Linked DNA regions of Drosophila melanogaster. The protein of the gene in region 1 purifies or fractionates together with the protein of each later gene. This does not show direct contact. Each region holds a gene or a part of one and is shown on either strand. Other genes may lie near its edges.

Region 1 (4,544 bases):
TGAGCTGCAGGCATGTGGCCTGCGGTCGCTATGTGAACGCCCACATGGAGCAGCATTCAGTGGAGGAGCAGCATCCGCTGGCGATGAGCACGGCTGACCTGTCTGTGTGGTGCTACGCGTGCTCCGCGTACGTGGACCATCCCCGCCTGTATGCCTACCTCAATCCGCTGCACGAGGACAAGTTCCAGGAACCGATGGCCTGGACACATGGGTGTGCGTGGCGCGAGGATGGCTGCTATGCGACGGGGCCCGATGGGCGAGATGAGGATGACGATGATGATAATGGCGCCGGTAGCAGCATTTGCCTGCGACTGGAGCGCAACAACTGACCCTTAGCCATCCGCGTGCTGGACGCCCTCACGGACTACTTGTGCGCGCTCTGCCCGCCACTAAGGCACCTAATCCATTTCCTGGCCGAGCACCTCTGGCCGCTGCTGGAGCGCATTTACCTTAACCTGTTGCACTACTTCCTGGCCCACTGAGCACCCCATATCCAATCCTCTAGCCCGCACCCACAACTGATCTGAAAACTGCTGCAACTGGCAGCCGGTCGGTCATCCCCTGGAGATCCTGGCACCAGTCACCATACCATTTATACAAATGCAAATTGTTAAAGTTATCAACTAATGATCTAATAAATAATTCAAGTGTTTTTTGAGTTTATTTTCGAATACAGTTTCTAGTTTCGTTAATGAGATCGAACTTCTTAAGTTCAGAGGTATTTATTCATAATTCTGTTCATCCCAGCCAAATCGACAGTTCATCCACGGTTTTATTTAATCTATATTTCTAGATTAACTCAATATTTGTTGAGTCATAACGTTGGCTACTAAAAATTACTTCTTTTTCTGCTGCTTTGCCTTCCCCTTAGAAGCTGGAGTGGGTTGCTGCTCGCGCTTCATTGGCTTCCTCTTCCGGTGGCCGTGATCACTGGAGACATCGCTGTCGCTGTCGGAGAAGTCGTCGTTCTCCTTGTCTTCCGATGAGTTGCTTTCTTCTGAGGATTCCTCGTCTTTCTTGTTCTTCTTCTTTTCCTTCTTCTTCTCGGCATCCAGTTTCTTATCCTGCTCGTACTCGATGGTCACGAATCCCCGAGGTGCTGCCGGCTTGGCACTTTGGTCAGACTCCACTTTCGCCTTTGGTTTCTCCTCCACTTTGGTGCGTTGTTCCACCGGTCGGACGTTGCCGAACTGGCGGAGATCCAGCAGGCCCAAGTCGGTGGGTCGGCAGTCCATGAAGCTGCGGGCAATCTCCTCCAGCTTGCGCGTTTCCATGTCGATCTTCCAGACTTTGATTTGACCAGCGCTGGAAAAGATAAATTTGTATATATAAAAACGAATAATGTGATGGGTGTTCTTAGTTATCTGGGTGTAGCTTGGATTTTTATAGAATAACTCACATGGAGACGGTGGCCAGGAATTCGTTCAGATAGGCGATGGCCTTGACCCTTACCTCGTGTGCAAGAATGAAGGTGGGCTGCAAAGAAAGCGCATTTAAGTATCATAGATAACAGGCTGAGAAAGTGCAATTCTTACTGGTGTATCATCCTCGTCCTTGAGGGAAATCCAGGCAATGTTGCCGTTGTCCAGGCCAGTTAAACACTCGTTCCCATCCAGCCAGGTGATGCAAATGGGTTTCGACGGCATCTCAATGCGACGCATAACATGGGCGTTCTCGATGCCCCAGATCTCCAGAACCAATGGACCGCTCAGTGTGAAGTGATCGCCCTGCTTGGACCACGACAAACAGCCCGTTTGGAAATCCAGCGTAGCCTTGTTCTTTAAATTGGTCTTGTGGGCGACGCAGCCATTGACCAGATTCCAGGTGTTCAGCACCTGGTCGCCGCCCAAAGATAAGGCCAACTTGCTGCTGGGATGGCAACTGACATGGGTGACGGCCTGGCCGGCATGGGCCTTCTGCCAATCATACTCTTTGGTCCAGCTGCCCACGCGTGTGGCGATCATATGGCCATCATCGCTCCCGGAGAGCAAGAGCGACAGGTCAGGCGTGAATTTCAGTGTGTTCACTCTTCCGGCGTGCGAGAGTATGATCTGCGACTGTTTCCGCGTGCGCATGTCGTAGACGAAGATCCTGCCGTCGGTACCGCCACTGGCCACCCAAGGCCACTGCACGGCCAGCGATGTAATGGATCTTGCATAGGAGCTGTCTGCAAAAGTCTGTTTCAGCTCGAATTTGACGGAATCGGTGAAGCCGTCAGTCGGCGATTTGATGAGCTTGAAGCCCAGCAGGAGCTCCTCGTTGGTGGCCTCTATGATCTCCATTTCCGGCGGCATGGCAGCGGTTTGAAATGAAAATGGAAATGGAAAATTAAATGGATTTGTCGAATAAGTCACTAAATTCTATTCAAGAATTTATTTCTGCTGTCAAAACGTGTTCCAGCGGCAAGGACTATTCGAAGTTAGAGGCGGAGAAACTTTTTACGCCAACATCGATGACATCGATGTTTTCGAAATATCAGAAACATCGATGTTTTTCTAGGAATGTTAAGAACAATTGCTGGAGGATGAAAAGGTTGTCACCAAATACTGCCTTTTTATTTAAAATATTAAAAAATAATCCTTAAATAAAAAAGATCAATGATCGAAAAAGATTAAAGATAAAAAAGATTGTTTATATTTTATAACAACATCTATGTTTTTCGCCAAAAACATCGAAACATATAAATAATTTGAAAAATGGTTTTATGTCTCATGTTATATATTCAATATCGTATTTACTATTTTATTTAAACGGGAAAGTTGTTTGAAATGCAAATAGTGAAATACCCTATAAATCTGAAAAAAATCAGGAAATACTTTACAGGAAGTGCTATTATTTTGACCAATTTGCTTAATGATTTATGTGCATTTAGTATCTTGTGTTTATTGAGTTTTTTGAAAAGTATTTTTATTGAATCCTTACTGAATTGAAATCCATGCGAAAATTACGTTTTAGCAATGTATCTTCGGGTTTTAACCAAAAATCTGCCGTGTGATTTGCTTTTATCTAACTTTATCTTAGTTCAAAACAGTAGAACATTTAATATATTACCAGCACCAGTCACCCTACCATTTACACAAATGCAAATTGTTTAACAATTTCAACTAATGATCTAATAATTAATTTAAGTGTTTTTTTTAGTTTTTTTTTTCAAAAACAGTTTCTAGTTTCGTTAATGAGATCGAACTTCTTAAGTTCAGAGGTATTTATTCATAATTCTGTTCATCCCAGCCAAATCGACAGTTCATCTATGGTTTTTTTATCTATATCTCTAGATTAACTCAATATTTATTGATAGTCATAACGTTAGCTACTAAAAACTACTTCTTTTTCTGCTGCTTTGCCTTCCCCTTGGAGGCTGGAGTGGGTTGCTGCTTGCGCTTCATTGGCTTCCTCTTCCGGTGGCCGTGATCACTGGAGACATCGCTGTCGCTGTCGGAGAAGTCGTCGCTCTCCTTTTCTTCCGATGAGTTGCTTTCTTCTGAGGATTCCTCGGCTTTCTGTTGCGCCTTCTTTGCCTGTATCTTGTTCTTCTTCCCCTTTCCCTTCTTCTTCTCGGCATCCAGATTCTTATCCTGCTCGTACTCGATGGTCACGAATCCCCGAGGTGCTGCAGGCTTGGCACTTTGGTCAGACTCCACTTTCGCCTTTGGTTTCTCCTCCACTTTAATGCGTTGTTCCACCGGTTGGACATTGCCGAACTGGCGGAGATCCAGCAGGCCCAAGTCGGTGGGTCGGCAGTCCATGAAGCTGCTGGCAATCTCCTCCAGCTTGCGCGTTTCCATGTCGATCTTCCAGACTTTGATTTCACCAGCGCTGGAAAAGATAAATTTGTATATATAAAAACGAATAATGTGATGGGTGTTCTTAGTTATCTGGGTGTAGCTTGGATTTTTATAGAATAACTCACCTGGAGACGGTGGCCAGTAATTCGTTCAGATAGGCGATGGCCTTGACCCTTGCCTCGTGTGCAAGAATGAAGGTGGGCTGCAAAGAAAGCGCATTTAAGTATCATAGATAACAGGCTGAGAAAGTGCAATTCTTACTGGTGTATCATCCTCGTCCTTGAGGGAAATCCAGGCAATGTTGCCGTTGTCCAGGCCAGTTAAACACTCGTTCCCATCCAGCCAGGTGATGCAAATGGGTTTCGCCGGCATCTCAATGCGACGCATAACATGAGCGTTCTCGATGCCCCAGATCTCCAGAACCAATGGACCGCTAAGTGTGAAGTGATCGCCCTGCTTGGACCACGACAAGCAGCCCGGTTGGAGACCCAGCGTAGCCTTGTTCTTTAAATTGGTCTTGTAGGCGACGCGGCCATTGACCAGATTCCAGGTGTTCAGCACCTGGTCGCCGCCCAAAGATAAGGCCAACTTGCTGCTGGGATGGCAACTGATGTGGGTGACGGCCTGTCCGGCATGGGCCTTCTGCCAATCACCCTCTTTGGTCCAGCTGCCCACGCGTGTGGCGATCATATGGCCATCGTCGCTCCCGGAGAGCAAGTGCGACAGGTCAGGTGTGAATTTCAGTGTGTTCACTCTTCC
Region 2 (3,474 bases), on another chromosome or scaffold:
CTTCCTAAGGCACTCGTTTATATGTATGTACATATTTATTTGTTCATATTCGCGCACACTGACCAGAATTGAAGAACCGAGTTTTTGCGTATCTATGAGATACAAACGAAAAAATGTGGTCATGTCGAGCATTTCGTACTACTACTGTGTGACGCATTAGATTCCCTTTATGTACCATCTGGCACCAGAAAGTCCTGGCTCCATCGAGGCGCGACGGAATTATTCCTTAAATACATATACATATCTACCCTCAGGAATCTCCATATCCCGCCCCATTCGGTTTTAGCCAACAACCGGCAGCACGGCGCGCCGGTTTCGCATTTCCGTTGGAATGCCAGCTCTTGGCCCTCAAAACGTAGTTGTTAACTCACTGATAGGGTGGAAATTTATCTACTACTGTAATTTGGGGATGCATTTTTATTAGACAACTTTTCATGCGTAATTAATTTGAAAGTATTGCATCATTTCTATGAGAAAAGGACTTTGCCCCATCCTTTGGGGGTAATGCGAGTAGTTAAGTACATTATGATAACCAATAATAATAACTTATAACTTATTATAATAACTTATTTACTCTTAACATTTCCAGCTGCTGCAGTTGTGCAATTAGTGTGCTTGTTTCAATCATCAGTGGATTGCTGGTGGTCGGCATTGTGGTCGGATTGGCCGTCTACTTTCTTGTCTACTACGAACCGGAGGATGAGGTTACCAAGTTCACCAATAAATTAGCCGAAAGTGTACAGTCGGGATATGGCAAAATTAAGGATGTCATAAGCAAATTAAATTGAGCATGGTAAAAAGATAACAAATTGAACTAGAAGATTCATAGGCATTCAATAAACTAGAATTTCAGATTAGTACACAGCGAAAAATGTTCCACGCTTTGCATAATTCCATTCATCCAAATTAATTGCCACCAATTTACAGAAACGAACACCGCTGGAGCCTTTTAGAAGAGGATAATTGTTAAACTGTTTAATTATCAGTACAAATAAATATTACAACACCTTCTAAATAATATTGTGAATCTCCATCTAATGCAAAAGATGTTTTAACGCAAAAGATTTTATAAATAAATATTTATGATGTTCAGAGACAGATTATACTACTTTAAAAAATGAAATAAAAAAATGTTTTTAACATTAATATACCAATTCTATTCAATTTGGAAATATTTGGAAATAATATAATTAATGGGTATTTACATAAAAACTAACGTATTTTTCTTCACGTTTTTAATTATCAAGATTTTTGTTATGGCCTTGAAATTAAAAAAAATGTTTGCTTGAGGCGGAAATAAAGCTTCCAGAAAAAACAATTTTCAATATTTTTTGATGATTACGAACAACAGGAAGTGCTTCAAAAATTCCTAGAAACTAGAATCTGTCTTAAGCCAAAAATTGATAAATAACTAAATAAATAAATTGATATATAAATAACAAAAAAGTACCACGAAAATGGGAAAAAATAATTAATCACACTGGCATAAATACCCATTTTTTCTAATGTGCCAGTACCATGGCCTTGTAATGCGAAAGATGCCCCTCCGCCCAGCGTCCAATGCCCAATAAAATCGATATATTCAGAACCATTTCGAAGCCATCGACTCGATGAACTTCTACCAGGCTCCCATAAAGTTCAGACGTGCTGCCAATCGTTCGACAACTTCGATTGGATCCAAATCAGCCCCTTCATCGCTCCGAAATGGAAACCCAACTGGCTGGGGGAGGAGTGGGAAATCCACCACGGTGGAGCGGTGACAACTCACCATGCAGGGGAAATCTGAAATATGGGCGCTCATCACAAGGCAGATACTTTCTACAAAAAGTCTGGTAACGCTTACAGCAAAACGGTCGAACTGGAACTGCAAGGATATACAAATGTGTTGCATCATAAAAAATAAACAATTTTCTTCCGAATAAGGGAACATTTTTAAATTCAGAGTGTGACCGAGGCAATAAAGTGTAATATTCTTCAGAAAGCGCAACATCCATTAAATGGGGAATCAATTCTCGTACTAGAATGTAATGTAAACAAACTTTAAAAATGGACGAATCTGAAACAGCTCCGAATGACGACTATGAGCACCCAGATGGACTCGATTACATATTGGAATCTGTGTTGATGCCCAGCGATGGAAGTAAAGAATTCAAATTCTTGGCGGACGAGTACAATTCTGTTCTTTTGAACCCCTGTCACTGCAAAGGAGCCTGCGAAAACAGCGAAGTCTGTGCACATGGAGGCCAATATGAGTTCACAGAAGATGGCAGCGAATTAATTCTTCGGAATTCCGCAAATCCTGTCATTGAGTGCAATGACATGTGCAAATGCTGTAGAAACACGTGCTCCAATCGGCTTGTGTACTCAGGCCCGAGGAAACATTTGGAAATATTCGATTCGCCCGTGTACGGATCCAAAGGACTACGGACTACAGCGAAAATTACAAAAGGAGGATACATTTGCGAATATGCCGGAGAACTTTTAACGGTTCCCGAGGCAAGAAGCCGCTTGCATGATAATGAAAAACTAGGCCTGATGAACTATATCCTGGTGCTTAATGAATACACTAGCGACAAGAAGCAACAGGTGACCATCGTTGATCCATCAAGACGTGGAAACATCGGACGCTACCTGAACCACAGCTGCGAACCGAACTGTCATATAGCAGCTGTACGAATAGACTGTCCCATACCAAAAATAGGCAAGTTTTATTGCTAATTCTGATCCGACTTCTCTCGTCATGTGTAATTTTTTAGGTATTTTCGCAGCAAGGGATATTGCGGCCAAGGAGGAGTTATGCTTTCATTATGGCGGAGAAGGGCAGTATAAAAAGATGACAGGTGGAAAGACTTGCCTCTGTGGTGCTTCAAAATGCACGGGTTTCATGCCAAATACTGAAATAGAAGAATAAATAAATTACTATTAAAGTTTACCTAAGTATATGTAAGTACTTGCCACTCAGAGTTTGTTCTGTACTTGGTTTTCCAGCGGAGGTAGTTTTTCATAAATCCATTGCTGCAGATCCGTGATGGAGGCAGTTTTCAGTTCGTGCAGTGTGTTCCTCAATGGATGAAATGTGCCCTTGACACCCAGTTTCGTTAGGTTCTCGAAGGTTTCCAGACCCCAGTCCTTAGGTACCAGAGTATCGCGTTCCCCGTGATACATTCGCAGCTCGGGAAAAGATTCGTCTTTGCCGTTGGCCAGGGAATCATAGACAACGGAGCCGCGGTTCAGGAACGAGGAATGTGCGAATACGCCGGCCAAGCTGCGTCTCAAATGGTAGCCCGTGTGCAGAGCCAAGGCTCCGCCCATCGAGAATCCGCCCACAACGATCCTGTTCAGCGGTATGCCGCTGGCCACCTCCTCGTCGATCAGCTGATTGACCGCATCATAACACTGGGACATGCTCTTCTTGCTTTCCGATGCGGCAATGTTCACGGACTTGCGGTCAAACCACACGTTGGATAGTTCCCC

The links.
Region 2: the proteins of CG9123 (region 1) and CG4565 purify together in Drosophila melanogaster (affinity purification with mass spectrometry, with the first as the bait; one large-scale study listed by BioGRID). This does not show direct contact.

Annotation. Positions count from the first base shown.
Region 1 is NC_004354.4:15,339,687-15,344,230, forward strand, and holds CG9123 (uncharacterized protein), read right to left. Parts: upstream 2,432-4,544; 5' UTR 2,295-2,431; coding exon 1,536-2,294; intron 1,477-1,535; coding exon 1,400-1,476; intron 1,306-1,399; coding exon 837-1,305; 3' UTR 687-836; downstream 1-686. Other genes in the region: HDAC6 (histone deacetylase 6), read left to right, coding at 1-329; CG12608 (uncharacterized protein), read right to left, coding at 3,321-3,816, 3,911-3,987, 4,047-4,544.
Region 2 is NT_033777.3:10,850,696-10,854,169, forward strand, and holds CG4565 (uncharacterized protein), read left to right. Parts: upstream 1-2,028; 5' UTR 2,029-2,046; coding exon 2,047-2,701; exon of another isoform or gene 2,702-2,756; coding exon 2,757-2,911; 3' UTR 2,912-2,949; downstream 2,950-3,474. Other genes in the region: CG42394 (uncharacterized protein), read left to right, coding at 590-788; CG6567 (uncharacterized protein), read right to left, coding at 2,959-3,474.